Oryzias latipes: one gene and its partners. The protein of the gene in region 6 interacts with the protein of the main gene of each other region in a pairwise test. Links are inferred from orthologs where the notes say so. Each region holds a gene or a part of one and is shown on either strand. Other genes may lie near its edges.

Evidence for each region.
Region 1: the proteins of RNA-binding protein with multiple splicing (region 6) and gcm2 interact in binary tests that used the Homo sapiens proteins (3 or more experiments, as listed by UniProt). The link is inferred for Oryzias latipes from reciprocal best matches to the Homo sapiens genes RBPMS and GCM2.
Region 2: the proteins of RNA-binding protein with multiple splicing (region 6) and creb5 interact in binary tests that used the Homo sapiens proteins (3 or more experiments, as listed by UniProt). The two-hybrid records come from large-scale screens. The link is inferred for Oryzias latipes from reciprocal best matches to the Homo sapiens genes RBPMS and CREB5.
Region 3: the proteins of RNA-binding protein with multiple splicing (region 6) and cnnm3 interact in binary tests that used the Homo sapiens proteins (3 or more experiments, as listed by UniProt). The two-hybrid records come from large-scale screens. The link is inferred for Oryzias latipes from reciprocal best matches to the Homo sapiens genes RBPMS and CNNM3.
Region 4: the proteins of RNA-binding protein with multiple splicing (region 6) and wdyhv1 interact in binary tests that used the Homo sapiens proteins (3 or more experiments, as listed by UniProt). The two-hybrid records come from large-scale screens. The link is inferred for Oryzias latipes from reciprocal best matches to the Homo sapiens genes RBPMS and NTAQ1.
Region 5: the proteins of RNA-binding protein with multiple splicing (region 6) and PHD finger protein 1 interact in binary tests that used the Homo sapiens proteins (3 or more experiments, as listed by UniProt). The two-hybrid records come from large-scale screens. The link is inferred for Oryzias latipes from reciprocal best matches to the Homo sapiens genes RBPMS and PHF1.
Region 7: the proteins of RNA-binding protein with multiple splicing (region 6) and probable E3 ubiquitin-protein ligase DTX2 interact in binary tests that used the Homo sapiens proteins (3 or more experiments, as listed by UniProt). The two-hybrid records come from large-scale screens. The link is inferred for Oryzias latipes from reciprocal best matches to the Homo sapiens genes RBPMS and DTX2.

The regions. Positions count from the first base shown.
Region 1 is NC_019878.2:1,862,914-1,867,859, reverse strand, and holds the start of gcm2 (chorion-specific transcription factor GCMb), read left to right. Parts: upstream 1-1,739; 5' UTR 1,740-1,826; exon of another isoform or gene 1,827-1,896; 5' UTR 1,897-1,930; coding exon 1,931-2,023; intron 2,024-4,946. UniProt on the Homo sapiens protein: Transcription factor that binds specific sequences on gene promoters and activate their transcription. Through the regulation of gene transcription, may play a role in parathyroid gland development.
Region 2 is NC_019874.2:16,141,562-16,145,137, forward strand, and holds part of creb5 (cyclic AMP-responsive element-binding protein 5), read right to left. Parts: intron 2,954-3,576; coding exon 2,726-2,953; intron 2,628-2,725; coding exon 2,519-2,627; intron 485-2,518; coding exon 327-484; 3' UTR 1-326. UniProt on the Homo sapiens protein: Binds to the cAMP response element and activates transcription.
Region 3 is NC_019870.2:1,789,879-1,794,024, reverse strand, and holds part of cnnm3 (metal transporter CNNM3), read right to left. Parts: intron 2,513-4,146; coding exon 2,369-2,512; intron 2,300-2,368; coding exon 2,141-2,299; intron 2,062-2,140; coding exon 1,892-2,061; intron 1,567-1,891; coding exon 1,470-1,566; intron 1,149-1,469; coding exon 1,018-1,148; intron 1-1,017. UniProt on the Homo sapiens protein: Probable metal transporter.
Region 4 is NC_019869.2:4,811,596-4,816,418, forward strand, and holds the start of wdyhv1 (protein N-terminal glutamine amidohydrolase), read right to left. Parts: upstream 3,319-4,823; 5' UTR 3,272-3,318; coding exon 3,198-3,271; intron 2,901-3,197; coding exon 2,801-2,900; intron 367-2,800; coding exon 316-366; intron 234-315; coding exon 85-233; intron 15-84; coding exon 1-14. UniProt on the Homo sapiens protein: Mediates the side-chain deamidation of N-terminal glutamine residues to glutamate, an important step in N-end rule pathway of protein degradation.
Region 5 is NC_019874.2:28,769,564-28,774,465, reverse strand, and holds the start of PHD finger protein 1, read right to left. Parts: upstream 3,198-4,902; 5' UTR 1,032-3,197; intron 926-1,031; 5' UTR 775-925; intron 1-774. UniProt on the Homo sapiens protein: Polycomb group (PcG) that specifically binds histone H3 trimethylated at 'Lys-36' (H3K36me3) and recruits the PRC2 complex. Involved in DNA damage response and is recruited at double-strand breaks (DSBs).
Region 6 is NC_019876.2:8,095,202-8,099,347, reverse strand, and holds part of RNA-binding protein with multiple splicing, read right to left. Parts: exon of another isoform or gene 1,751-4,146; intron 1,545-1,750; coding exon 1,417-1,544; intron 1-1,416.
Region 7 is NC_019872.2:28,231,624-28,235,769, reverse strand, and holds the end of probable E3 ubiquitin-protein ligase DTX2, read right to left. Parts: intron 3,635-4,146; coding exon 3,416-3,634; intron 2,884-3,415; coding exon 2,816-2,883; intron 2,728-2,815; coding exon 2,560-2,727; intron 1,940-2,559; coding exon 1,778-1,939; intron 1,224-1,777; coding exon 1,134-1,223; intron 865-1,133; coding exon 625-864; 3' UTR 407-624; downstream 1-406. UniProt on the Homo sapiens protein: Regulator of Notch signaling, a signaling pathway involved in cell-cell communications that regulates a broad spectrum of cell-fate determinations.

The DNA of each region.
Region 1 (4,946 bases), on a different chromosome or scaffold from region 6:
TTATTATTATTATTAGTATTAGTATTATTATTAATAGACTTATTATTATTATTATTTATTGACTTATTATTTATTTATTGTTTGTATTGACTTACTATTGATTTGTTATTATTATTATTATTATTATTATTATTATTATTATTATTATTATTATTATTGACTCATTTTTGGGTTTTTCTAAATAATTTAAATTACATGTCAAAGAGGTCTAAAACTTCTAAATGTTTAGAAATTATTTTTAAAAACTCTTTGAAATTATTTTTTTCTTTGTAAGAACTCCTGCAACAATGCATTTTCATTAAAGTTTGAGCTTTTAAGGCTGCCTGTTTCTCTTCTTTAACAACAACAAATGATCTATCTATATATATATTATATATATAAATATATATAGTATATAAAAGCTACCTAGACACCACTAAAAGCAATAGAAATTATTGTCATGTGGGCGTCGTCGACCTCACCAAGATGGCGTCGCGCTCCGCCACCGTCGGCCAGGCTTCCCAAGCGGGCGTGTCTCCTCTAGTGATATAACTCATTGGTCAGACCCATGATTCCAGCATTGCACTAGCTCCATTACAGAAGGCAGCCATCTGCAGAGGATCAGACCTCTAGGGACCTGGAGGTCCTACTGCTCAGTGCAGCGGATAGAAAATAATAAACATTGCTCTGACACCAACCCTAAGACTGGAAAAGATCCAAGTATGTTCTGATAGGTCTTATCTATCCTAATCCTAGAACTGGTTCTGGTCTGCTATAGTCTCAGTCCAAGCCTGTTCTGATCTTGATCTGATAAAGTCCTGGGTCCAGTCTGCTTCAGTACTGATCTGCTTTGGTGTGCGTTTGTTATGATGTTGTTTCAAGTTGACCCTTTCCTGGCTTTGGTCTGCTTAAGTACTGATCTTTGTCCAGGTTTGTTGTACTTAAGACAATTTTCTGCTCTGATCCTGATCCTGGACTGAGATCATCCTGCAGGTCCAAGTTGCCTTCAATCACAGCCCCATTATTGCCCTTTTCTGCCCTTGGTTCTGGTCCATTCTGGTCCTGATTTGATCTAATCATTGTCATGTTTTTTTGTCAGCATTAGTCCTGGTTCTGGGTCTGGTCTCCTTCAGTCCTGGGTCTGGTCTCCTTCAGTCCTGGTCTAGGTCTGGTCTCCTTCGGTCCTGTTTCTGATCTCCTTTAGTCCTGGTCCTGGGTCTGGTCTCCTTCAGTCCTGGGCCTGGGTCTGGTCTCCTTCAGTCCTGGTCCTGGGTCTGGTCTCCTTCAGTCCTGGTCTTGGGTCTGGTCTCCTTCAGTCCTGGGTCTGGTCTCCTTCAGTCCTGGTCCTGGGTCTGGTCTCCTTCAGTCCTGGTCCTGGGTCTGGTATTCCTTCAGTCCTGGTCTTGGGTCTGGTCTCCTTCAGTCCTGGGTCTGGTCTCCTTCAGTCCTGGTCCTGGGTCTGGTCTCCTTCAGTCCTGGTCCTGGGTCTGGTCTCCTTCAGTCCTGGGTCTGGTCTCCTTCAGTCCTGGTCCTGGTATTCCTTCAGTCCTGGTCTTGGGTCTGGTCTCCTTCGGTCCTGGTCCTGGGTCTGGTATTCCTTCAGTCCTGGTCTTGGGTCTGGTCTCCTTCAGTCCTGGTCCTGGGTCTGGTATTCCTTCAGTCCTGGTTCTGGTGCACATTCATTAATTAGTTTGTTTTTGGAAAAGCAACGAGGTGTTTGCAAAGCAAACACACCCACACACACACACACGCGCGAGCTCACCCAAACACACACTCGGCTCTCCTCTCTGTCCCTCTCTCTCTCCTCCTCTGCCTCCTCGCGCTCACCTGTCCTGTCAGTCTTTCAGGTAACTCTCGCGGAGTCGCACGTGCTGATTTCACGTACTTTGAAACGTTTTTCATTGAGTTCTCATTAAGATCAGAAGAATCTGGACCAGAACCAGAACCAGTCATGTCCCGGGCAGAAGAGGGCGAGGAAACGGACTGCGTGTGTTCGATCGGGATGAAGTTCTCCTGGGACATAAACGACCCCAAACTGCCGCAGGTGCGTGGACCGGAACCGAACCCTGCGCCGTCCGGTTTGACATGTTTACTGGTGGTACTCGTGGTGAAATTGTGCTGGTATCGAACCTACGAGCTCAGAAGCGTAATCGAGACGAGAGAGATGAGCCGCAAACGGGCCGAACCGAGCTGGACTGTAAGAATAAAAACTGGGTTCTAGGAGAACCGTCCGAACCACCGATACCGGGCCTCCTGGATCAGCCGTAAATATAATAAGATGAAAACTGTGGCTTCTGGAAAATGTACTTTATTGCGTTAAAGACTGGAAAACCTCATTTGAAATATTCTTTTCGATTCGATCTGTTTTTATTTTTAACGTTGAAAAACGTGGTTTTTTTTTTTAGATTTTCAAAAAAGAAACGAAACTAAAAGTCCAAAATGAAATTCCGTTTAGAGACAAATTTAAACGTGAAAAATGAAACGCAAACAGCTCCAAAATAATCTTCCAATCATTAGAATTATTTATAAATATTCTCAGTCAAACACTAAAAGGCCAGAAATGATTGTAAAATGAAGAAGACGCGCGTGCGCCGCACTTTGATCTGGAGCTCAGAACTGCGTGATGACCACCGAACCGAACCACATTCATTGTAATACGAGGTTCGGTGTTCAAGCAGAGTCCAAATTTATCTTCATAATTTGAAGCTGAACAAACGCGGAACCAGAACCGGGCCTTTGGGCCTAAAGCGGCTTTATTTTGATTTTTCTTTTTGTTGTTTTCTGATTATTGTCAAAGAAAAAATAAACCGTAAAGAACTTAAAACATCGGCCTTTTTTATTATTATTTTTTATAACATTTAGGCCCCCAAAGGACGACTCGGGGCCCTGCGCGCGCGCGTCTTCTGCTGCCACCCTCGGCAGGGGCAAATGCAGCAGACTGACACGTTTGGGGCATAAATGCCGAGAAACGGCGCTCATGTGGAATGATGGTCAAGGCTTTAGTCAGATTCAGTGGCGGTAGGATTCCGGTCTGTGTGTCAGAAAGTGGATCGCGATGTGAGTCCACGCGTGGACACTCGTCACGTTCAGCGTGGAAGCAGATGCTGACGCGGCCTCGGCACCACGATGATCTTTCTAGAGAGGAGATGTCACGGGTCACGCGTGTTTCAGCGTCAAGGACGGAAAGAGTCACGGAGGAGCAAACCGGCCGGTCGGAGGCCGCGCTGCTCCCTGATTGGCTGCAGAAGCTCCGGTTGGGTTCTGATGCAGGTGAACAAGGTGGACCATGACCTGAAGACATGAGGATGCTTTCATAGATGAAAAACAAACTCTCTGAATAGAAAGAGCTCACAGCCTGACCCGTCGTGTCTGTTCTGTAGTTGAGGGGAGACAGCCTCACTTTTTAGGGGAATTTGCTGATTTGCTTTAAAGCTCCTCCAACACATGGAGGCATTTGGACGTTCAAATCCTGTTTTAAAATCAGCAGATATATTAGATATTAGCAATCAAAAACACGTGATACAAACTATTACAGAATAGGCCTACTTGTACTTGTTGCTATATTGTAATGAACCGCACAGGATGACCTTAAATCACCGACACCTGCAGAGGTAGAAAGGACAGATGTTCTGCTTGGTACTTTACTACTGACTTACATAAAAATGTTTATTATCGGTAAAGTTAAAGTACTGGAAGCACAATTGGAGAAGCAACCTTAACTTTAATACATCTAAATATTAATAAATAAATACATAAATATTGGCTACTTGGAAAAAAGTAGATAACCTGGATTTAATGTTAGATTTTGGGATAGACTGATTAAAAAACTAATAAAATCCAGATAATAAAGCAGGTCACAGGATTTTATTGTACAAAAAACACCAAATAGTTCAGTGGCCTTGCAGTGGAGTGTCCACCCTGAGACAGGAAGGCTGTGAGTTCAAATCCAGGCAGTCATGACAAATGCTCTTAATGGGAACAGCTACAAAATCCTGACCAAAAATGAGGATCATCAAGAAGATGTTAATAAAAGGTATCCGATCCAGAACGCTTCTTCTGACCAATAGAAAGACTCGCTAACAGCTGTTTATGTCTCTTTAGACGTCCATGGGATTTCAGCTGTTTGGACCGGTTACTATTTTACTTTCGATGCTTGATCCGTTGGATCGGAGGGTTAGACCGAGCGCGGCTGTGGCTGCAGCCCCCCCATGGGATGAATCCCATGCAGAGAACACGTCGCTCACCTGGGTGAAAACGAAATAACTGACAACGAATGGGACTTCTACTTTTAGCTTGAAATGCCCTCTATTTAGATCTTTAATATAGGCAATATAATTGTTTTCATGATATTATATTTGTGTGTGTATGTGAGGCCCACTGGGCCTTGAAGAAAGTCTCTCAGAATATTTAAAATATTTACATGTCCACTCTAATCATCTTCTTATCCGTCGTCAAAGCGTCCCAGAGATCTTTTAATGATGACGAGGCTGATTTTTGGCAAAATCCCCAAATCAGAAATGCAAAAATACAAATTCAAAATGACAAATGACAGAGTAGATTTAACAAACACTATTTTATTTTAACAAGGAAATATCCTCAAACACAAAGTTCAACCAAATACAAGCTGTACAAATGTTTGCAGCAGATGTTTTCAGAGCCGTCAGTAGTTTGAGCGTCTCGTTAAGACAAAAGCTTCCGGCGCTCGACAGAGTATCTGTTTCAGACGCTAAAACGAATCAGTACTCCCGCTTTGGACAGCTACAACATTCAAATGGGTTTGGCGGCGTGTGGTTTGATGCTCATAACCCCAGAGGTCAACATTTCCGTTTTTACCCACCAGCTGGGCAAAATTACCAGACAAATTATTACATTTTCTACAAAGAAAAACTATAGTTGTTGTTTAAAAAATGACATGTTTAATGGAAAGAGAGAAAGTCAGAACAAAGAAAACATCCGATAAAAACAAC
Region 2 (3,576 bases), on a different chromosome or scaffold from region 6:
AAAAAAATTTAAACCACTATGGTCAGTTTAGTACCGTTACACTACAGAAAACCATTGAAACGGTGCATGATATGAGCAAAATTAACCTTTCAGCGAGCGCAAAAGAAGCAGGTAAAAAAGCAAGAGCATCGAACATTTATGCGTTAATAGGTCTATAAAAATATACTTTAGCTACTGTATAAAGAACAGCCTCACAGGCCTTTGAGGTTTTTATATTTATTTTTTCTTTGAGGGGTGGGGGCAGCGTGTGCAGCTGGTAACCCTCAAAATGCAGAGGTTGTGGTGGGTGGGGGTTCGGGGCTGTAGCTGAGGTTTTAGACTTGTTCCTAGTGGATAGGATTAATGTCTGTGTGATGGTTGGCCTGCCCGTGCACACTGCTGCCCCCTACAGTCGTTGTAGAGGTTGTTATGGTGTTGTGCTGGATGACCTGCTGCTGCTGTTTGCATGCTGGAGCTGGGCTGCCTGCTGGACTGCTCTCTGGACCTGAGGACACAGCAGAGACAACGCGGATCAGGTTTAGATGTAGGAAAAGCCTTTAATTAGGGCACAGACACAAGTGTGCACCTCAAACCCTGAAATGTCTTTACTTTGCTAAAAACAGTCATTTTGGGACAAAATCAAGGTATTTTGACTTTTTGTTTTAAACCTGAGCAGCTCAAATTGTTCAACTAAATTAGAAAATGTATCATAAAATGATCCAATAAAAATCAAACCACTTTCAAGAAAATAAAACAATGAATTGGAAAAAACAAAATAGCAAAAAACACGTCACTTTAGGGTCAAATTCAAATCAACTATAATTTTTTCTAAGAAAAAAACAAACTCCTGCATGATTTATTTAGGTTCAGCAGAATGAGTGTGTGCAGTAACACCAACATATAAAAAAACTCTAGAAGGAAAACTTTTGGAGGTAAAGCCTTACTGTTTTTTCAGAAGATGTAGAAGGATTATCATTTATTGTGAAGCTTTGCTGTTTCAATAAAGATCTACCTCACCTCCAGGTAAGCTTGCGTCACTCACTCTACACGCTTTCCATTAATTAGGCTTTCGCTCAATAGCTAAATTCCTAGCCTTCTTGTCTCAGCCAATCACAATCATATTTCTGCTTTTAAATTCATGCACGTTTATCTTTCTACATTCTAGACAGTTTTTCCGGCCCTCCTCCACCCCACAGTGGTCTCAACCACCATCAGTATCCAAAGCTCTGGGGTTTATCCATCTGTAGTCCAATGAAGAAAGACGTCGTCTGCCCAGAGAGTCTAACCGCCCAAAGACTATGGGCTATTTCATGCATATTTTTGTATCACAAATAAATCTTTCTTCACATTCCTAAGACCTCTCCCTATTGAAATGCAATATCTATGGATCACTTTTAGGGCTTTTTTTGTGGCCTTTTGTTTCTTTTTCTTGTGAAGTTTTATGGCGGATGGCACACAAACCTTTTGTTTGCTTTGTTTAGTTTCACTTATGTTTTCTTGGTATTTGACATAATCTGTTTTCAGGTTTTGTGTGTTTGCTGTCACAGACACATCAGGTTCAAGTTGTTGATTATCCACAGCTGTCTTCATTTACGCTAATCATCCTCTGTGTGTTTAGCTGTCTTGTTGTCAGGTCATCTGTTGTTTGCACTCTTTCTAATTTTGTTCTTGTTTAATGGTCTGTTCAAGTTTATTTATTAAAGTTTTAAAGTTCTTGCCCTCAAGCCCACCCTTAATTTGTGGTTTTTCATCAGTTCCTGATGTGCATATTTGTATATATAACATAAATACTTGAAAAGAGGATTGTAAAAGTTTATTTTCTGTCAAATTTATTATACATTAGTTACCAGCAAATAGAACTTTGGAGTTGAAAGTTGTAAAAGTCAAAAGCCGATTCTAAAAAAAACTGAATGACAAGGCCAGTACACTAATGTAAAAGTTTATGTCTAAAAAATATGCTCATAGTACGTTTTTTTGTCTACGTTAAAATTAATCGCTTTCTCCAATGAGCAAAACTCATCTGTTATGGTCATCCTAAGCCGGTATGGGAGTTGTCTTTCTCCTGCAGAATAGAGCCGTTCAGCTTCATGTGAGCCTTATTTTCCTGTGCATAAGCTACACTGGGCGGTGCCCCTATCCTAATTATGGAAATGGATTACATGGAAATGTCACTCGCATTAATATCGAAAAACGAGACTGTGAAGTCATGTGAACTTGACAAATGTCCAAAAGATTCTAAGGAGTTTGGCCACATCTGGGAAGTAAAACCCAACTGTGATGCCTTCCTCACATGAAGACTCTGTCACCTCCGTCCACAGAGGTGCTGTCTGATGGAAATATTAGCCTGTTGTGAGATTCAGACGACCAACTCCCTGTCCAGGCTTGTTACCAGGGTTTGACACAGCCATGAGTAAAAGAAAATAGTCCTGCATAAAGTGTGGGAGCTGGACGCCAGCATCACAGAGACGAGCCCTTGGCCATCCCAATTTGTCCATCAGAATTCATAAGACTAAGGAGTGTTTTTGTTTGAGCTACTCACTGAGGTAACCTTGGGACTCTTTCTGCATAGTTGTGATGGGGCAGTCCTTATGTGTGAGCAGAAGCTGCTTGAGTTGGGTCACCTCACTCTTCAGCATTGTCACTTCATTCTGAAATAAAGAAAAGGACCTTTTTTTAAAAAAAATCATCAACAAAGTCTTAAAATGCTGTTCTGATCTAAAGCTGAACCTCAGGTTGGTGTTTGTACCTGAAGCTGCATGTTGGTCTGAGTGAGCTCCTCCGCTTTCTTCTCCAACGACATCACCCAAACTTTTCTCTTTTGCCTGCATCTCGTCGCAGCCGCTCTGTTTCGCTCCAAGAACTTCCGCCGTCGCTCATCTGGATCTTCGTCCACGACTCGCCTGCGCCGCCCACCACTGGGGGGAGGACTCTGCAATGTCTGTGTGGGCTGCATCTGCTGGGTTGCAGGTGACATCTGAAACACGCGGCACAAACGACAAGTGTTATGGAGACTTTGATGAGACAGAGTCTGTCTGCCACCATCCAGCCACATGTGTGCTGCGAGCACTCCGACATCTGGATAACCACCCATCACCTGTAGGCTTTTCTACCTCTCTGCTGTTAAGAGGGGCCTCTTGCTTGTAAACAAGCATCTATGTATTATCTGATCCAGCTATTTAATGCCTGGAAACTTCCCTAAAAACAACATCTGCTCGCTCCACGCGCCTCTGAAGCCCAAGCTGCATGTGTCAGGAGTGAATGAATGAGTGAGTGAGTGGGCTGATTCACCAAGCTACCCACCTTGTTAAAGAGGTGTTGGGAGGCAGTTTTCCGACGCCCACTTCCACTCAGGCTAACACCGACAGACACAGTTGAAACGCCTGTTTCTAAAACTGTATGTATGCTGACAGATCTTGACATATTCTTGGCAAAGTCAGGTGTTTTCAATCCGAAGATCATTACCATTTTTATGAGAACCAAGGAAAAATACAAGCTGCTTTAATGGCTGCTGTGAATACAGAACGTGTTGTTTTAAGTTTTTTTTTTTTTAAATCATACATCTAAGGCATAGATTGTACAGCATTTCTTTAAGTTAAG
Region 3 (4,146 bases), on a different chromosome or scaffold from region 6:
ATTAATTTCTAATTTCCAATTTCTAATAATGCACACGTTGTTGGCCATTTAATGCTTACGTAAACCATGTCACTTAGAAACCTCATTGACTCCTCTCCTCTGCCCTTCCAGCCTGGTCACATGACAAGTTCAATAAGAAAAAAAAACACCTTTTCAAAATTTGGCCTATGTGTTTCTTAGAAAGATCGGCTAAAGTTTTTATTTTTTTAACCACGCCCACATTCCAAATAAATTCATTTCATATGTCATAACAGTCCGTTCAAGGATTCATGTGTTACATTTGCTAAAAAGAAATGTGCTAGCAGTGGTGGTTAGCCACTTCTGTGAGCTCGCCAGGCTAGCAGGCTTAAAAATCTACAAACCTTAAATCCAGCAGTTTAGCTTCCCAACGACGCTCCAGGGCTCACAAGGCAAGAGCTCAAAATCGGTCGTTGACGTTCAAATTTGTAGCAGGTACTAATGGTCACTTTTTGGAAAATTCACGATGGCGGCTTCTAGACGCAAGTTAACTTAGGTCAACGTAGACTGGTTGCAGACGTCACCTGGTTGAATGTCTGAAATTCTGAGAAAATCGCCAAAACAAAAGTTTTTCTTGACATTGTATAAAAATGTGAAAATCGCCAAATTTTGCACTTTGCTGGAGAAAAAAAAAAACTCTGCCGAGCCTTAAATCCTTAGGCCATCCCATAATAATTCTAAAAAAATTTCTTTGGATATCCCAAACACGCCTCTTTTGATTATATTCGTGAATTTTGAAATTCTTTTTGAACCCCATAAGAAATTTTGGCCCCGTTCATTTTTTGACGGTTTCTCCTGCTGTGATGTCATCATTTGGGGGCGGAGTTGTTTGCGATCTCCAGAATGAATTGGGTTTTCTTCTGTGAAACAGCCTTTTCAGTGAAACCGTGAACAGGAGCATCAAACATCTGTGGTCCGAAGAAACGCCTTTCACTTCTGGTTGGTTGACTCCCATTAAAGCAGACCTGAAGACGGAAAGGTGAAAGGTCGTTCACTGACCCGGATGAGCTGCAGGTCGGTCAGCGCGCGGACGGTGTAGTCAGGACAGTAGCTGGACGGGCTGGTGGCCTCCCCAGAATCAAAGGGGTCTCTGGGAGAGCTCCGCTGGGTCGATACCGGAGACTGGTGCACTGCAATCAAACGGTCTCCGTTAGTCCTCATGTACAAGGAGAAGCTACAAAGAAAACTTCCAGCTGTGATCGGGGGCGGGCTAAATGCTACTACGACTACCTATGCTTTTATTTTGAAAATATTAAAGGGGGGTTGCTGCTTAAGGATGTCGGCCGCCTTCAGAGCCCAGCTGTTGGACTTCTGCTCCATTTCCTGCTGTAACATGTCAGCATCCGGATTCAGGAAGCAAGTTACAACATTTTAAAAATGATTTTAAAGATCATAGGAGGATTGAAGAAGATGAAAGAAGAAAGAATTTTATGTTTAGTTCCCGCCCTCACCTGAGGATGGCAGCGTCAGGGCAGAGACGCCGTAGTACGTAAATGCCCCGTTTTCAAACTTTAGCCCCTCTTTGCCGATTTCCACTTCAACGCGACCCTGAAAGAAAAGACAGAAAACCCTTTTATTTAATTCTTACAAACATTTTTTTTCTCTTTAGCTCCTAAATCAAAAAAACGTTTTTTTCAATGAAAACAAATCTGTTTTGTTGTATTTGCAATTGTTTTTAGTGTCTTTTCTGTGTTTTTCTATTTTAAAGCAAGTTGCCTCTAAAACGGAACAAAAGACATGAAAATGACATTTAAGACACTCAGCTAAAGTCTGATAAATCGTCTCAACATTTGCCATAAAAACCTTTTTTTTGTGGTTTTTCACCATGTCCGGTTATTTCCAGTGCAGGGCGCCCCCTGCAGGCGGTACGTACCTGCAGCAGCAGGATGAAGTAGTCCACCGGCTGGTTGCGGGTGTACAGGTAGTGGCTGGGGCTCAGCCGGTTGTTGGCTTCGAAGTGCACCTCTTGGTTGACACTGGGGTGGCGCAGGAGGTGGAACAGAACCTTCTCGGACACCCGGGCCGGGCTGAAGTGCTCCACCTCTGTAGGGCCAGAGGTCACTCTCAGCATCTTCATGCAGCTTAAATGTACACACAGAGTCGGGGATGGCGGTCAACACACCTCTGGACAGGAAGCGGTGCGTGGCGAGCAGCAGCTGTGGCGAGGTGTGGATTTTGGATTCTCCCTCTGGGGGCCTGAAGAGAGAAAACTCCTCGCCGGAGCTGCGAGGCTCCAGAGAAATCTCCAGGGGCGGGAGGGGCCGCTTCAGCTTCCTGTCCACTGTGGGACGACACGCAGGTGTGAACAACCGTGGCGGGACACGGACAGAACACGCTCACAAACACTCACGGTAGCCGTCGGACTCGTCCAGGATCTCCGACTTGATGATCTCCTCGATGACGTCCTCCAGCGTGACCAATCCCAGCACCTCGTAGAACGGGTCCCCCTCCCCCTCGTTGTTCACCTTCTGGACGATGGCCATGTGGGAGTTTCCTGAGTGAACAAATGACCCGTACAGAAAACCTTCCTACGTATGGTTTTCATTCGAAACTTCCCACTTTTACAGTTCTCCTCAAAAACGGGATCTAGGAGCCGGACCGAGTCCCTCCACACTCGTTCCACAACCCCCACCCCCCATCTGAAAACGCTGAAGCCCTGGCGTGCAGCTCTACAGGTGAATAAGTCTTTAGTTTAGTTACCACTGGAAGGATTTTAATGGATTCAATATGGCCGCCGTCCTAAAGGGAATGGACCATAGCAACCATCCGACTTATTTCTTGTCCAGAGCTAATAGACGCGGAAATTCATTTTCTATGCTGCAGCAACAAAGTTACATTTGACTGGATCCCTAGCTATGGAAGCAATTCTGTAGCATTAATAAAAAGCAAAGTCAAAACCAGAAATGCTTTTTCATTTTCAAAATGAAGCTGCATTTTTTGACTCAAAAATAAAATGAAAAAGTAATCCACCAAAATGCTTTTTCATTTCCTTCCTCAACACAGCTTATTCTGTCACTTAAATAAAATTAAAATTAAAATGGTATTTGACATTTCATTTTCAAGACGTTCTCTGGTAAATGTGTAGCAAAATTCATTTAGAAATGTCTAATTTGACAATTAAAATGGATTAATAGAAATGCTTTTTAATTTTCAAAATGAAGCTGCATTAAATGACTCAAAATTCAAATGAAAAAGCAATATTTCAAAATGCTTTTTCATTTTATACTTAAAACCGCTTATTCTGTGTCATAATTAAAACGAAAATGCAAAGAGGGGATTGCATTTGCATTTTAACATCCACCCTGGGAAACTTGTAGCAATATTCATTTCTTAAAAGCATTAGCAGAGGGGAGGCGGGGCGATGACGTCACTGCTTTCTCCGTGTGTACGGCCGCTGTCGCTGAGAGACCTGGTGTGTCTGTGTTCGCGTTGAGATCACCTAAAACCGGGTCCTGTTCACAAACCGCTGGACCTGGACTGCTCAAACCTGGATTCCTGGATCTTAATGCGAGAAATGCAGCAGAATGTTCCTTTATCTCCCTCGCGAATCAGAAGCTGTGAATCGCAACCCAACTTCTTCAGCGTCGTCTGACCGCACGGATTTAAAAACATATGATCGAGCAGAGCAGGCCCTTAATAATAATCATGACAGTAATAAAAGCACATTATGAAGATAGTCTCCTGCAGCTTCGCGCTGAGTGATGCTGCTATGTAGTCCTGAGAAGCTGTGGAAACTCATCAGAAGTTCACAACCAACTCAAAGCCGTCTTCTCTGCCACTAACACAGTCTGCTCCTGGTGCGTGTGTGTGTCAGCGGCCGTACACACGGAGAAAGCAGTGACGTCATCGCCCCGCCTCCCCTCTGCTAATGCATTTAAGAAATGAATATTGCTACAAGTTTCCCAGGGTGGATGTTAAAATGCAAATGCAATCCCCTCTTTGCATTTTCGTTTTAATTATGACACAGAATAAGCGGTTTTAAGTATAAAATGAAAAAGCATTTTGAAATATTGCTTTTTCATTTGAATTTTGAGTCATTTAATGCAGCTTCATTTTGAAAATTAAAAAGCATTTCTATTAATCCATTTTAAATGTCAAATTAGACATTTCTAAATGAATTTTGCTACA
Region 4 (4,823 bases), on a different chromosome or scaffold from region 6:
CCACTCGCAACTTCCTGGCATAAAATCCGGGTTACTATGGTGTTTTATGGGTGCGTCACCAGTAGTCTGCTTTGCGTTTATTACCTGTGATACTCAGGTCTGAGGTTGCGGTCCGACCGGAGGGCCTGAGCTGCGTAGAGCCGCAGGCTGCAGGGAAACGGCAGCACCGAGTCCAGATCATAGATCACACTGTCTGACTTCACACCCACCTTCAGCAGGATCACGTGGTAGTCCTGCAACACAGAACGACAAAACCATTCATGGTCATTTGGAGATTCCCACAGCAACTTTCAAAGATGGAGGGGTCTGACACACCCAGATCACCGGCCGGTCGTCATGTCCGGACTTTTGTCTCCAAAGAGGAACCTAACGGAGAAAAGATAATGAACTTGAGTTTCAGATAAAGGAAGAAAGAGATTTACTTTCCAAAAAAAAGAGCCCTGCCCTGCGACACACAGAGGAACTGTACCCACACCTTCACCCAACAGTAGTTGGGATAGGCTCCAGCAACCACTTCGACCTCAAAACAGATTAAGCAGATTTAGAAAATTTATGGATAAATGACAGTGTGATGGCTTTTTTGTACATTTGGGTTTTCTCTCTCTATTTTCTTTTATATTTTCTGCTGGAGTGGGAGGTTTTCTGTCTTCCTTCTCCTCTGCCAGCTTTGATTGCACATTTGTGCCTAATTGTCCAGAGCACCAGACTGGGCAAGGATCTCCAGGGCAGAACATACATACAGGCTTTGTTCTTTGTACAGTATTTTCCACACTACAGGGCTCACCGGATTATCAAGCACAACATCAATGAATGGTCTATTTTGAGCATATGTCACATATAGAGCACACCGAACTACAAGGCAGATTAAGTGAGATTAAAGAGTCAGAGAAATGTCCGTCAGTCAGTCACGTTACTTTGCTTGCAGCACGTGGACAAAACAGACTGATAGCGCTAAAACAAACGTTACCGTGACTACGCTATCACACAACCTTTTTGGTAACCAAAAAAACAGTCCAACATCGCCACACATTAGCCGCGTGAGGGTATTCACAATAACACCCAACCTTGTTTGCAGCATAACTAATTAATAGATAGGGTGATCATGATTTTAAGACAAACTGTTGCTTTTTAAATAAAAAAATTAAGGGTTTTAAGTGTGCTTTATACTGCAAATATACAGTAATTTGGTTGTTTTTTTATTAAATAGTATTTCTTTTTCCTAAAATGGGGTGTAACATAAATTGGGGGCTTGTCCGGGATTTCTTTGGTTTTTGTAATGTACTGTGTGTAGTGGCCAGTTTTAGGGATTGCCTATTTGTTTGATGAACTTCTTTGTTTGGTTTGATTGACCGTTTTAGTGAGACGCTTTCACAACATTTGAGCGTTATATATTGGGTGCTCCCAAATTCGAAGTCTGCGTCCTTCAATGGCCGCAGTCTTCCCTGGCGATGTTACTCGGGTCCTTTGTTGAGCGGGTAGGTCAGATGTTAATGGCTGTGAATTTGGACGAGTCTAGCCTTTAGATAATTCCAGCCATTACATCAGTGAATGTCCTGTTGCCTAGCAACCGTGAGTCCCGAACAGGGAGGAGGAGTGAACCAGGCATGGAGCCATTGTTGTCAGAAAATATCCGGGTTCTACTGCTATGCATCTTGGGATATGGACAGCATAGAAGGGTACACCAGAGCAATCCTTGAAATCGGGTAAAAAGAAGGCTGTATTCGGTGGCCATATTTAAAGGACTTGTTGAATTTGGACAACATGTTACGTAAGCAGCCTTCAGATGCAGCCCAGGAAGAACACAGCCCTCCAATTTGGACACAATTAATGGAGTACAGTAAACCCTTGTTTTTCGCGGGGGTTACGTTCCAAAAAGAACCCGTGATAGGCAAAATCCGTGAAGTAGAAACCTTTTTTTTTAACAATTATTATACAATTAAATTCTCTATTATACATTGAAAAGAAAGAACAAACCGTTTTACAGGCTAAGGAATTGTTTCACAAATAAAAGTACTTTAGAAAAGGTTTTTCAACAAATATCTTCTGTATTGTACTGTCAAATAAGAATTTTAATCATCAATGTGAACAGAAGGCTTCAAATCGCGGAGATTAGCCCCGCCCACCGCGACCCGAGTATTTGGATTAAACGGGAAGATATTTAAAATGATTTTTAAAAAAATACAAAGTACGGTCAGACAAATAGTGACTCAGGTGTAATTCACTGCTCTTGAGCCGCTGCATCCTGACTCCGCTCTGCAGTCTCCCTTTGAAGCCCGCGGTGCAGCTGTGTTTGTTCGGGAGAAGAACATAGTGATAGGCAGTTGTTGTTGTCGCTCCTTTTTTTCATGGGTTATAGAGAAACTCGAAATTGCAAGATGATTTGCACGTATCTGTTGTAAATTTGGCACGCTGATTTACGTACGTGTACATATTAAACTGCAATGTTATTGACGCACAGGTAGAGAAGTGAAGTGACTTTTTAGCCAATCAGAATGCAGAACACAATGCACGATGCAAATCCGTGAAGTAGCGAAACCGTGAAAAGTAAACCGTGTTATAGCGAGGGATCACTGTAGCTGTATTTTGAAACTACCAGATGTTTTGCAAAAAGGATTTTTCTTTTTACAGAGAAGGCCTGTTATTTACTTTCAAATATTTCTTGAGACCACCTGAACCCTTGAGGGCTCGGTGCCCATCATTCTCAGTATGAGGTACTTTTTGAAATATTATTTTTAAAGCAAACATTTTGTTTATTCGATTGTCTTGTTAAGCCGTTTAAAATGTTTCCAGATCTTCTTACCGTTCTGGTGTCGTTAGAGATGAAAATTACAGCAAACTGGTCCAGTGGAACCATTTTCTGTGCTTGAATAAACTCACAGAGCTTCCAAACATTTTCCTCACTGAGAAAGTAAAGGAAAGCAGCATTAGCCACTCATTCACTTGATTAAAATGAACTATATTTCCCTGAAAATTCATTCAATCATTAATTAGACAGATGGCATTGAAATAACTCATTCACTATAACAGTTTTAAAAATGGGTATAACATTTAACAATGTAAACTGTGAATATCGATTAGCCGAGCGGATCCGCTTAGCATTTTGATGTTTTTCTTGACAATAAATGATTTATTGACACAAAACTAAAGACTGCAGGACAGTGGGCTGCTTTTCTGATTTGTTAAAACTTGGTTTTTACCAATAACAGCTGGTATAAACGCAGTTTTCCCGGCTTGGTATTACTTCCACACCTTTCTTTAACTGACCCTTCATGTCTGTAAGCTAACCGGAAAGAACCTCACCGAAAATACAGTACGTCACATCCGTCCTTTCAAACTAAAAGCCCATTCCTGTAGCGTTGATTTCACCAACTTTTTATTTTATTTTATTCTTATTGAACTTCAAAGGATGACACGTACACATTCACATAACTACAATAGAAAGATATAAAAAGAAAAAAGAATACAATACAAAGAAAAAATAAATAAATAACATTAGAATTGTAGCTCACACTAGGTATGGTCATACAACATGTGATCTTCAATGAAAATTGACAGTTTTATTGCATTTCTGTTTTTCTTGAATTCCAAGGATTTAAAATGTAAACAGATCTCTTTATGAAATGTATTGAATAATGATTTGATTTTAAAAAAATCTGCTCTCATTGATGAAGAATTTCCCAGAATTTAATAAAGTATCAAATGCCAAATCAAATAAATTATCACCAGAAAGTACTCACAACTGTAACGGAATAGAAATAGGAAAAGGAAACTTTGAGGAGCACCAACAAACACAATACTCCCAAAAACTGGTAACATATGTACATTCAAAAAACAGATGATCAAGTGATTTTATATTTATTAACAGTTATTTTCTTGAAAACCAAAACGTAAATGTAGCAGTTCCTTGCATGGGTATACTGCATTCATTGTTTAAAATGGGTTTCTTTGTATTTTGGAAAAATTGGGTTTTTAAAAAACTTTTTTGTGTAATGCTGGGACATAGAATGAGTTTTGTAGAATGTTGGAAACAGTTCTCCAACAAACAAAGAACGTATTACATAAGTTTGGAAGTTTTGAATTAACCAGTCGACAATCAAACAACAAAGATGGAAGCAGGAATTTTGCAGTCTTTGATTTTGGAAATGAATCTTTTTGAATTGAGTGGCAACTCAAACACCTCATCTAACACAGTATGTTAGGGAAGTTAGGGTCATGCTGCTGAAGGAAGCGACACACTGGAAGGTACTAAAAAAAGTGAGAGTGAGGCAGACAAAATTTGGAAGCAAGATCATTGAAGCTTGCAAATATACCGCTTAGGTACATGTCCTTAAAGTTGATTATACTGTACCTTAATCACTTCCCAAATCATGAATACGAAGTCTGTCTGACCAGGGAGAAAAAGGTGATTTTTGTGTATAGGACTAGTGGTAAGCACTTGAGTGAGTCCATACGTCTGTCTGAATTGAAACATAATTTTAAAGGTATTGGTAACTACTGGATTGTGTGTAATATAGTGTGAAATGACACAGGGGAGACTAGATCCAATTAGGGCTGTCAGAGTTTTTGTATTATAGGAGGAGGCTTCAAATCGATACCAGTTGATGTCATAAGCTTGGAGCCAATCTATCGTTTTTTGAACATTAGAGGCCCAGTAGTATTGGCACAGGTTTGGTAGGCCTAAGCCACCTTGATGCTTAGGTCTTTGTGATAATTTTAAACAGAGTCTTGGGGTCTTACCGCTCCAGATGAATGAAGAAAAGCTTTTGTCGACAGATTTAAAAAAAGATTTAGGGATGTAGAGGGGACGCACTGAAACAGGTAAA
Region 5 (4,902 bases), on a different chromosome or scaffold from region 6:
TGACTCAACCAGTCGAAACCTGCACGGGGCAAACCCGCACTTGACCCAAAACGACCCAGATTAGACTCAAAATAGAAGTGATCCTTCATCATCCGTCTATAATTCGAATTTATAATCCTAAATAGAAATCACAGAACATAATTTCAGTCGAATCACAGACACATTTCAGCAATAAAACGGAGTTTTATTGCTGAAATACTGGAATAATATTCCATAAAGCAAATAAACGGTTTTCTAATAATCTTGTTGAAATTATGTCAATTGCTTCAAATCTAATACAAGTAAAAAAAAATGATTGTGTTGTATTCACTTTCTGCTCCTCCCCTTTTTAATGCTTTTCTATTTTGAAGCAAAAATAGTCTGTAACTCTCATTTATATGCATACTTTAATTAAAGAGTCAATTGTTTAAACAGGAACAATTCAAATGTTTAAAACTAATTTTTAGGAAAGATACATTTCAGGTTAGGAGGCTTTTTCATCATTTAGTGTATCTATCTGTGTTTTGGCTTCCTCCTTGTTTGTGTCTCACACTTGACTCCCACCAGTCAGACGTGTTATCTCTGCTTCAAAATGGCCCCTGGCAGATTAAAGGCAGATTTCCCACGTGAGACCACCGGGGGGCGTTGTACTACCAGCTGCTGCTGCATCACAGGACAGCTTTGACAGAAGCTCCGGAGAGCAACCAGTAAACCCAAACTGGAAAGTCCTTGAGTTTTTCCCTTTTCTCTGTAGCACCAGTCTGCATTCAATCCTGGAACGTGGAATGTTTTTACCTCACTTTTCCAAAACTCCAATCCTTTTCACTGAAGAATTGGACCGTTCGTCTGCTCTGTTTTGATATCAACTCCTGCTGTGAGGAGCCAGGAAATCAGAGTTCTTCATCATTTCAAACATCCTGATTACTTTGGAGTCGCTGTGCGGAACCTGGGGATTACCAAAGAATGGAGCCTTTTAGTTGCAGCAACATTTTTTAAATGTGTTTGTGTAATTCTCCAGATTTACCAATCAAGGCTGGATTATTCTAGATCACCTGGCATTTTGGGATTTCCGAGTGTGAACCTCGCAGAGCTCTTTTCTCAGATGACTTTCTTCTCCTCTACTTTTCTTAGCTCAAAGTCCTTGTTCCTGGTATTTCCTGGACCAGGAAGGAAGGAAGTATCCAGGAACCAGCTGTGAGTTTGTGTTTGATAAGTCAACACTAGTTCATTTCACCCTGAGTTTAAAGCTCTTGTTTGGCATCTTATCAATTGTTTTTCTTCTTACCAAGTTGCATTGTTTTTTTATTAACATGTCATTTTCCTGCTGTGGTTTAATTGTTGATTTCTGTTCTTGCATCTTTTTGTGAAAGTCCCAGTAAAGTGCCACAATACTACATTTATCCAATATTCGATAGGATCTGTACTCATGTTACCGATGTAAGGGATTTATATATACATTTCTTGTTGTTTTCTACTTGGCATATTTCCACTTTAATTGGCTGGGACCAGATCAACAAATTTGAATTCACCCTGTGGTTAAATAATACCAAATAAAATCCTTGAATGCTTGAATTCCAGATTAATGTATTGTCATTTATTTCACTCATAGTATTTGCAGAGGAATACACAGGTGAGACCAGATGTTTTTCCTCACTAATATGACAGTGCAAAAGAAAATATAGCAATAAAATAGAATAAAATAGCAATCAACTAAAATAAAATGTCAAAAAAATAGAAACCAGCATTCAATCCTTAAAGTTAGTATCTGCATTTAGCAGCAGTATATATTGTGTCTTTGGGTGGTGCAGAGGGTGGGGGTAGTTTATTGGGTCTGATTGCGGTGTGGAGTTTGTGAGAGCATGTATGCAGGAGGAGGACAGTCTATGTAGCAGTCTCACTGCTTGTGAAAAGAAGATTTTACTATCCCGCTGGATCTGCTGCTGATACTCTTGAACCTTTTCCCAGATGGCATAAGGAAGAACACCCCATGACAGAGAAGCGGAGGGTCCCTAATGAGGAAGCTTACTCTGCGTATGGTGGTATGGGCTCCAACAATCTCGCTGACCGGTTGTTGGTCCTGAACCTTGCAGCTGCCAAACCAGCATGTAAGGCTCTGTGTCAACACGTTTTCATTGGTGCCGTTGTAGAAGGTGATGAGGCGAGGTGTTGGAATTCCTGCCTTCTTGAGTCTCTGGAGGGGATGGAGGCTTTTGTGCTTTTCTGGTGGTCATTTTGGAGTTGGAGGAGTGGAGTTGGAGTGAGATGCACCCCCAGGAACTTCTCCACAGCAACACCATTTATGGTCGGATGTGTGTTGTGGTAATTGCCAGATGCCCTGAAGTCGATCACCATTGATCTGGAGATTATGTCATTCACACCACACTGCTAGCTGCCCCACCTCCATTCTGTAAGCAGACTCATCATTGTCGTTTATGAGACCAATTACTGTTGTGCCGTCCGTAAATTTGACAATGTGGTTGGTGCTGTACCTAGCTGTGCAGTCATGCGTGAGCAGACTGAACAGCAGTGGGCTCAGGACACACCCTTGTGGTGTGCCTGTGCTCGATGACATGGGCCTTGATGTGTGTGTTGATCTTGACTGTCTGCAGCCCGTCTGTCAGTAAACTCAGCATCCAATTGCAGATTGCCTTCAGCTTCTCCACCAGTTGCTGTGGAATGATGGTGTTAAAAGCCGAGCTGAAGTCGATGAAGAGGACTCTAGCATAGGTGTTTTTCCTCTCCAGATGTGACAGGATCAGGTGGAGAGCAGTGGAGATGGCATCTTCAGTAAATCTATTTACTGAAGATGCAAGTTGTAAAGGGTCCATATTTATTGGAAGACTCTTCTTGATGTGCTTCAGAACCAAGCGCACAAGACATTTGGTCACAATGGGTGTGAAGGCCACGGGGCAAAATACGTTTGGATCAGACATCTTTGGGACTGGAGTAATGACAGCAGTTTAAAGACAGGTGGGTATAAATTCCTGTCTGAGTGATGTGTTAAAGATCTCGCTGAATAAATCTTTCAATTGCTCCATGCAGTCTTTCAGAGCCTGTCCAGGGATGTTGTCCGGGCCAGCCGCTTTGCGGTTGATGGCTGTAATGCTGTGTTGCTGGATCACAGCAGCAGCATCTGTGCCTGGATGGTGCTGTAAACATCAAACCATGCGTAGAAGTTGTTCAGTTCCTCTGGTAACCCTTGTGCTATCCTTGGCACTTTAACATTGGTAGTGGGGTCATCTAGACCCCACAAGACAGTGCGCTAAATTTGTGATCTCGACTGGTGTCCATGGATTACATGAAATCTTTCTGCCTTTATCCACCTTTGTCATGGTAGGGAGAACACGTCAATGTAAGGGTGGGGTCATCTGGACCCCATGGGATAGCACAAGGGGTAAAGGGCGGTTGTTCCGGCATATTGTCTCTTTCTCACACATGAAGTGGCTGTTCAGTTTTTGTGTGTACAGCTTCTTTGCCCCTCTAATCCCCTGTGACAGGTTCGTCCTTGCCAGACTGTACGCTGCTGCATCTCCTTATTTAAAAGCCATGTTCCAAGCTCTCAACAAGGAACAAACGTCTCCTGTTAGTCATGGTTTGCAATTTGATTTCTTCCTGACGGTCTTGACCACTGTCACATCATCCACACATTTCTTAATGTAGTCAATGACGGACACGGTGTGTTCCTTCAGGTTGGTGATATTGTCAAAAGTTGCTGCTGAATCCTTGAGTTTGATTTAACAAAAATGAAAAATAGCCCCTTCAGGAAGACTAAAAACCAACCTGTTGTTCTGGTAAACGCAGAATAAGTCAGTAGATGCTGTAATCTGTAGAACTGATGGCCTCTGTGACAGGTCTTTCAAAGTAAAAGCTGTTCTCAAATTGGTTGCATGAATGAAAATATTTAGATTATTAACTTTGCCTAAAAATTAATAACTTTTCATGGTTGGTGTGGAGCTTTTGCAGAAATCTGTGAGTGAAATTTATAAAACAAAAAAAAAACAACAAGAATATGAATCTAAAAATTATAAAACTGCTTAATTTACACTCACTCACACATATTTTTTTGAATGAGACACACTATATATTGTATGTTTTGGATATTACAAAACCACATTAGACAGTGTTGAGCTTTAAATGTTGATGGTAAAACACGGATCATGGTTTTCCTCTCTGATGTCAATCATTCAAGTCAAATGTACTTCAAAGGTTTTTTGTTCACTGAAACCACTTTGCTTTACAATTTGAAGAGAATTTTTTTAACAAGTTGAAATCAACCAAGCCCATTCAAAGCTGCTTAAAACCAAAAGCATCCAGATGTCTCCTGGACTCCTCCCTGGGGAGGTGTTCCGGGCATTTCCCACTGGGCGGAGACCTGGGAAAGACCCAGGACACGTTTGAGGGACTACGTCTCTCTGCTCGCCTTGGGATTCTCCCAGGGGAGCTGCAGGAAGTGTGTGATGGCTGCCTACGCTGCCACCCCATCAGAGCAGTAACCTCCTGCACCGCACCCTACATATATCCGTTCACTATATCTTTTCGCATATACTTTTAGATTTCTTTTTCACACACACATTTGAACATAAAATTGATTAACACGTTTCAGCTTACTTTATTATAATTTGCTTCATTAATTTGATGTTATGCTTTGAGTTACCAGTGCTGAGGGAACCAGGCCTGACACAAGAATGCATGCCAGTCAGCAGAGGCCTGATATTCAGCACTAAACCATCGGCCAGGGGACAATAAATTATCTTGTGTTGCTTTACTTTAGTTTCTATTTTGATGCTCTTTATTTTCATTCATTTGTGTATGTTAATTTACCACAGGATGGATATTAGTTTAGTTTGCTTGCTGTATTTTGTCTTAGTCTTTTTAAGTTCCCCCTTGTGTGTCTAGTTGGTCTGATCAGTCACTATATATGTT
Region 6 (4,146 bases):
GTTTTCTCATTTGCATGGAGACAATGTTAATCTTATTTTTATTTTTTCCTTACTCTGACAACAGTGGGACAGCAAGTCATCAAACTGGGTTACAGAGAGACAGAAGAACCGCTGAAGATGCAGGTCCTATAGTAGATGGTAAACCTCATCCAAAACAATGAATTCAGACAGGAAGACTTTTGCTTTTGAAGAGCTCTTCTAAATAAATAAACCTAATCTGTTGTAAATAAAATATACAGTCCAGGCTCCCATGTGGCGATGAGGCTAAAATCTAGATGGCAGCTTCTCCCACACACAAAGGGAGCATCAAGTTTACAAACACATTTTTGGACAGAATTTGACTAGCGCTGAAAGAAGATAGTGGATGCGAATTTGATGTGTGAATGGCGTTCTGCGTGAACGCAGCATTACGCTAAAAATTTGTTCAGAAGTACTGCACTTTCCTCCCAAAAGTTCAACTTATACTCCCGCATGAATTGTTTATGTTCTCTCTTTATTATGCATTCTTTAACTCCTGTGACTTATACTCTGGAAAATGTGTTTTTTTTGTTTTTTTTTAAGCAGAGATGATCGCAAAATTATAACAAAAATCACAGGAGAAACTGGATTTCTTGAAATTTTACATGTAATGTAAAATTTTTCGTCAGCATTACTCTGGATACTTTAGAATGAGAAGCGGGTAATTTTCAGATTTGTTTTATTAAATTTATGAATCTGAAAACAGAGATTTAGCTATTTAAAGAACATTTGCTTTATTTTGTTCCTTTGTGTAAAAAAAAAAAAGAGAAAGTTTTAAACAATTGCTACACTAAAGAAACAGTCTTTTCCTCATTAAAATGTGGAAAATGCTGGGATTTAACTGTAGCTGCTTTTGAGAGAGGGAAATATTAAAGACAAATTCGACTCCTGTAAGGAAAAACCTGCGATTAGACATTTCCAAACTAAATAATTCCTAATATAACTTTAATTAGGTAAAACTCCTAAACTCCTAATGCAGGATTAACGGCTTCATTTCATACAGGAGATCGTTAAATCACAGTTCGAAGCCTTAAAGCTGCAGCTGCTAAATTTAAACTTTACCAGCACGAAAACCCTTCCAGCATTGGAAATCCTTTTTTTTGCAAGAGCTGCATTCTTTAGTACGATATCACTGAATTAATTATCGTTATAACTGTAGGGAAAGTTGTAAAAATAAATCCTTTTAACCTTAAGGAGAAACAAACTAAACCCCCACCCTAACAGCTTCTTTACGCCTTCAGAACAACAGAAAACAGATCTCTGGTGTTTCGGTGACATTCATAGAAGGTAAAGTGGCTGGGTGATGGATGCGCACTGAGGTGCATGGAAGTGATTTATAGGCTTAACTTGTGCAATAGTGGACATGGGGGGTGGGGGGTGGGGGGATTTGGAGGTTACCTGAGCGTGGAGCGAGGAGGGGTAGGTGAAAGCGGGTGGGAGGGCCGGCGACAGCTCCGCCGGGTACAGCGGGTATGATGCCCACACATCTGGGCTGCCGGGATATAGAGCAGGCACTGTGAGCTCATCTGTGGAAAGAAGAAGAAGAGGAGGAGTGAAGTGAGGAGAGAGGTAAGTGGATGGGGTGAGTGGACAGAGACGAGGGGGAGGTGGCAGTGATAGGGGGAGGTGCACAGTGGTGGGGAGCTCTAAATATCTGAAGTTGATTCCTCTTATTTGGTTTTATTTAAAGCGGTCGTTGTTTTGGTATTTTGATGAGAAGAGGTTTCCGTCGGCAGGACGCGTTTGTCATCGTCTTCCCTGAAGATCAAAGACTGAAATATGCTAATATGTCTGGCCTTCAGCTCGTCATCATATCACTGTGTGACAGCTGCTTCAAAAGCTTTAGATCACGTCAGTTCAATGCCACTTACATTTGGACAAAGAAAAAGAAATGACATCTCAAGTCAGAGACTTCCTGTTGGACTTAACATAGTTTAGGTTAGCTAAAGATCATTGACTGTATATGAGAACTGGACTGAGTGAGTGAGTGTCACCCATAGAACATGGCTTACTTCCGGCTCCAACCAAATTAAGTCAATTTAGTAGCCTTTTGTGGCAATGCAGACGCCAACTAGGGTTGGGTATCACCAATAATTTCTAGAATCGATTCGATTTGATTCACTAGATCCACGTTTTTTTGATTCTTTCAATCCACTCTTTCGATTTGACTGAATTTAGTATTTAATTTACACAGTTTACACATTTAGAGATATTTTTATAGAAATCCAAAAATAATCAATATATGTTTTGAACATATTCATTTTAATCTGATACGGTTCACATACAGTTAAATCTATTGGTGAAATAATAAACCAATGAAATTGTACACAGTGTTACATGGTTTCTCAAACGGAGAAGCTGCAACAAAAATGTGCAGATCTTTATGTTCCACCTCTCCTGGAGGGCGTTTCAGTTTGCCCACTAGGTGTAGCTCGCGCTAAAGAAGATTTGAGCAAAAAAAACTGTGCTTATGACCACAAATGGTTAATTTAAGAAAAATGTTTCCTCAAAAGACTTTAGGAAATTCATGCCTGTCCGGCAGTCGGACCTCCAGTTTTATTTTTATTGTTCCTCTCTCGGGTTGAGGCTCAAACTGGCCAATGGACAGACGGAAGTAACATTTGAAACGGCCGTAACCGAGGCGCAGCTCCAGAGCACGCCAGGAGAGACTCTGAAGGATCCGGTGAACCCAGTCACGGCGACGGGCTTGTAGAGCTCTTACAAACATGTAAAGCCTAGCTACTCGCTCAACATCATCCATGTTCTCCATGATGTGGCAACGAATGAAGTCCAGAAAAACGTTGGCGGTTGCTCAGCCACTGGAGCGTCGAGGCATCTAGCAGAAAGTTTGACATAGAAATACTGGGTAGACAAGCTGACGTCAAACATGGGATCCTGAATTACAAAAATGAAGCCTCACTTGGGATGGGAACATTGCTCCGCCCCAAACGAACAACATGACAAATATAGTGGGTGGGAATTTTTGTTGGACTCCATCGATGGGTCCACCCACATTCCAATAAAAAGAAACGACATGTTGCAGAAATCGAGGCAAATTATTTTCTAAATCAAAATGACTAGTTTAAAAAAATGTTTCAACTCTGCAATTGTCATGAAAAGACAAAAAAAAAATTCAATATTTCTGAAATCAATTATCTAAATCTAAATTTAAATAAATAGGTTTATCTTTTGCTGTAAAGATAGACGTCTTAGTTAGTAGCCAATATGAAACCAGCCTCTAGTGGTCTTTTAGAAAGTGCAACATTTAATCCATTCTGGTTTGAGGCAGATGTGGAAATGGAAGGTGAGGCTTTAGTAAAATAAAAAACTAGTACGTTTACCAAAAAAAAAAAAAAGAAGTTGAAAGCTGTATTTTCAATTAGGATAATAGTCTGCTTGTCAGGAAACGTCCTTAAGTTCCAACAACTGCTTAAGTGGGGAAGGTCTTGATAAGCTCTGACCAGGAAGGAAAAAAAAGCACAGAGAAGATAATAAGCTAATCCTGCCTGTCCTCCGATTGTTTACTGAGAAGCAACTTTACTTTGTGACGCCACCTTTACTAATTGGACATACTCTAGTTTTTGCATTTTTCCTTATTTGCAATGCAAGACTTTGTTTTTTCTGAAAATGTGCATTTCACTATTCAGTTCACTTCTGCTCTTTAGTTGACTGTTACACTGTAGTGAACCACACCAAAGTTCACTTGCAAGTGATTGGATTGCAAGTGATTTATTTTGCTTACTGTTGTTCTTTTTTATTCGTAAGTGTTGTATGTGGCACACTGGCACCGCAGCAAATTCCTAGTTTGTTTTGTTCACTGACGATGGCAATAAAAACTCCCTTGAATCCTTGAATTGGAACCCCTTGTTTAAGAACTTCACCAGAGTTTCCATACCTGCGAAACATCGTAGAACTTCAGTTCTGATGCGGATCAAATGCGCTTGTGTGATATTGCCCAACAGTTTGCACGCATAAGGCCATACGTTTCAGAGGAAACCACCTCAGACATGTTGATTTACTCGATAAGTGCAAAGTGATGGTGACAACAAAAAGTGCTCGAGTAAAGAAGGAGGTGCTGAGTGGTACAAGACAAGTGCACACGTCAGAACGCAGAAAATCACGACACGG
Region 7 (4,146 bases), on a different chromosome or scaffold from region 6:
ACGGCTGGAGGTTCTTCAGGATTCAGCATTTTTTCCTCCTCACAGGTTTATGGTTTCATCAAATATTCATCTGTATAAATATTCATCCTCATTTCCTCCCTTTGAACAGTTGCTGAATGTTTTCTGAGCTTCAGTTTCTTCAGCTAACGGCGATTCCTGAAGGTCAAAGATCCGTTTCATTTCTAAATTCACTATTTTTTTAATCACTTCAGTTTTTTTTCCACTTCTTCAGGATGTAAGAAAACAGTCAAAAATGGACAAATGGCGTGAAACTTCTTAGCTGACGCTGTGATGTGATGAAGATCCATCGGGATGCAGCTTCAGCAGCTGATGCTGCAGGAATCTCCAGGATGACCCACCTCTCTCAGAACCGGCTTACAGGATGGAATGAGAGCTTCAGTCAGAGTTCGTTTGCATTCGTGTCTTTATTTACAGCGTTTAGCCTGAACTGCTCGGCCGTTTTCTGGGAAAAAAAACCCGACTGCATGCGTTTGGGTCTGGAGTCAAAGGAACGCTCTAAAGTGCTTCATGGGATCGGCAGAGCGGCACAGAAGTCCGTTTGTAACAGAACCCCCCCCCCGCCGGTCTGGCAGGCGTGTTGGGAGGGGGGGGGGGGGGGGCGGCCTAGCTGCTGCCTCCGGCGGGCTTCAGGCAGTCCTCCGTCACGCCTTGCGAGGCCAGCTCCGACAGAACGTTGTCCAGGTAGTTGGGGTCGGGGTAACCGTGGCCCGACAGGTTGGACATCATCTCGGTTTTGTGGTGGATGCCGTTCCACACCACCGTGTCGGGCTCGCCGGTGGTGCTGGACGTTCCCACGGTGAAGATGAGGCGCCGCATCCACGCCACCTTCAGCAGCTCCAGGACCTCGACGACAAAACAAAAAAAGCCCGTTTCAACCTACGATACAGCAGAAAGACCTCAAGACTGAGAATAAAATGTTTGAACGCCTCCTGGTCTCCTCTGTGGCGCCTCCTGCTGTTCACGTGAGGCGAGTTCAAGGCCTGTGTGATATTTCTACCGCCTCGCCCCCACATGGGGCAGCACACATTCAGGAAAGAGTGAGGCCGGCTTATTTAATCCCACTTTCCATCAGTGAATTACAGCGGGATGATGGCCAAGGCTCCTCCCCCTACCTTCCTGCCTTTGTCGTTGTCTGGGAGGAAGCAGAAACGAGGGAAGCCCCTGCAGGTGAACAGCTGTCCCGGGTTAGGGTGCTCTGGACCCTGCAGGATGAAGAAGAAGAGACAACGATAAAACTGCAAGTTCAGTCAAAAGAAACTCTTTTTTTGGTGTTTTAAACCTAAATTTGACCATTTTAAAGCATAATTGACCAAAAACAGGTTGAAACTTGTGAGTTCATTTATTTTTAAACATTTTTTTCTACACTAAAGTGTTTCTGTCTTTGTCAGATGAAGAGCAAACAAACAAAAAAACCAAAGTTGTTTGGAATCTGGTTTCTGTAAACCTGAATGAACATCAGTTTGATCTCAGACTCGTGTTTTTCTGGGTAAATATTTTACTTTGAGAGTAAATATTACAACCAACAAGGTAGAAAATTCAAAATTTCAGGTATTTTATTCAGAAAGAGGAAGAGCAGAGATTGAAGAACCCGGACCTAAACGCAGCTCACCAGGCATTTCTGGGTTCCTACGGGTTTCTATGGTGAAGACGAGCAAAATCACTAAAGAAAAACTAAAAAAAATGTTCAGAAAATCTCTAGAAAAGAACCAAAAGGGGAAAGGTTGAGTCCTGATGGTAGCTGAAGGAAGGGATGTACCTGGACGCCAGGAGGGATGCTGTAGATGATCTGGATGGTTCCACAGTCCGGGTGTCCGGGCAGCGACTGAGCGATGCTGTAGATCTCCATCTTGCCTTTGGGCTGCGTGCCCGTCTTCTCCCCGTAGATTGTCTTGCAGGAAGGACACTGCAAGCTGCCGTCCTGCGGGGGAGAAGGGAACCCGGTGAGCTCCGCCCCTTACAGAAGCTCAGACAGAAGAAGGCGGAGCCTCAGTAAAATGGACCTTTCAACAACCAACCAACAGTCAGACGTGGAGCTTTTCCCACCGAGGAACATCTGAGCTCCTGAAACCAAAGCTGAGCCACGTTTCCAGACGACTTTTAGAGAAACAAAGTGCGTTTCTGCTCAGGAGTTCAGGACGGAGAAAGCAACTCCTCAAAGAAGACCGCCCACAGACACAGGTTCTAGTGCTTCATCATCATCATCATCATCTGAACCTGCTTTAAATCCAACAGTTTCATCGGTTTAGTCATCTTTAGACTGGAACTGAACAAGTAAAACTAAAGATTTCCCTTAAAGAAAAGGACGTCTAAGCAGCTGAAGAACAGGATGAGATGTGAAACATTTAACTGCGCTCCTGTGACCCGGTGGAGGTCTTTAACCATCGGGATACCGGCTCTGTAACGCCGACCCGATGACCCGGCAGAGCGGGTCTTCACTATTAAAGCAGAACTTCTCCCACACGGCTCTTCTAACTCTGAACAGACCTTCACCCTCCGTCTGGGGAGCGTCCCGGGTGAACATGGCGGCGGCCCGCGTACCTTTGTCCCGTTGTTGTACATAGCCAGCATGCAGAGCATGTGGAGGGTGTGGCCGCATCGCACGAACTTCCCCACGCTGCTGGGCCCGATGCTCGGACTGCTCTCCTCGGACGGGCCCGCCTCGTAGCCGGACGGGTTGGACAGCTGGTCCATGCAGATGATGCAGTCCTGAATGTTTGACAGGTGATGTCACATAGCCACGCCCCTTTTCTCTGCCTCCACCAATGAGTGCAAACCGACACGGAACATGACATACCTCATCTGGAACCGCCGACACCGCCTCCATGTAACGCTGGATCACCTCCTCGGGTTTCTGGGCCGACGCTGTGGGAGAAAACACAGGAGGAGGTTCTGAAGGACCCCAACCAAAACACGGACCCAAGAAAGACCAGGAGAGTCTGGTGGAATGAGATGATTTCCACAAAATAGGTTTAGAAATCCTCCAGGAAATACTTTTACCACAGAAAAAATCCTCTCCATTTGATTCCAGCTACACAAAGAGCTCACCGTAAGGAACCTGATGATTACGTTCAGACCAATCAAGGTGAAGCCAGATCAACAACAAAGCAGTGATGGGACGGAGTGAAAGTGGTGAGGAAATGATGCCCCCCCCCCCCCCCCCCCTCCCTGTCATGGTGGTTCAGTGATTCTTCAGAAACCATCTTCTTCAGGTTTCAGCGTGAAGAACGTCTCCACGGCTGCCCCCCCCTTTAACGGGGGGAGTCTGTCAGATTCAGAGAAGAAACTGAGGCAGAAGCAGAAAGAAGTTCTGATGGAGGAGAGTCTGAAGGACAGAAGCCTGAGTGCAGTGATGGAGCAGGACAGGTGGAGTGGGGGCTGCTGGTGTGGTAGCTACCTCTCCTGTGCTGCCTCTTTGCTCTCCTAACTGAACTGCTGCTGCTGCTGCTGCTGGGGGGCTTGCTGGGCCTGCTGGCTGGGGGCAGGAGAGGAGGTGGAGGAGGAAGAGAGAAAGGCGGCGGCAGCTGATGCTGCTGTGGCGGCTGCTGCTGAGGGAGGGGGGCGGAGGTGAAGTGCACGCCGAGTCCCACTGCTGACATCAAAATGGAGGCCATGCCTGGAGTGGGGTGGGGTGGGGTGGGGTGGGATGGGATGGAGTGACGTGGGGCGGGGCGGGGCGGAGTGGAGTGGGGGGCGGATGCAGAGATGCAGGGAGGAAGAAATAAGGAACAAATCAAAAAGAGAAATGTTGCCACGGCGACGCATTTTTCAAACAAAGAGCGAAATAAGGAAAAATCCCTCACCGGTGCTTCCTGACACGAGCGCCGCCACGTTGACACCAGTCGACAGCCATTGGTCCCAGTCACCAATCATGGTCGACTGGTTTTAACATGGCGGCGCCCATATTAGGAGGCAAAGGTACGTCCTTTTTGGGAACATGAGGGGGGGGTTGAGATGTCCCATTGTTGTTACAGTCAAATGTTTAACATCAACCATCGTGAATTACGACCACGGAACACAAAGGCGTGGAAAACATCTGCAGCGGGACTCTGAATGCAGAGGAGCTGCTTAACGCTGCAGCATTATTATGGGATGCGCCCGACCGCAGACTGAACTGTATTAAGTTTG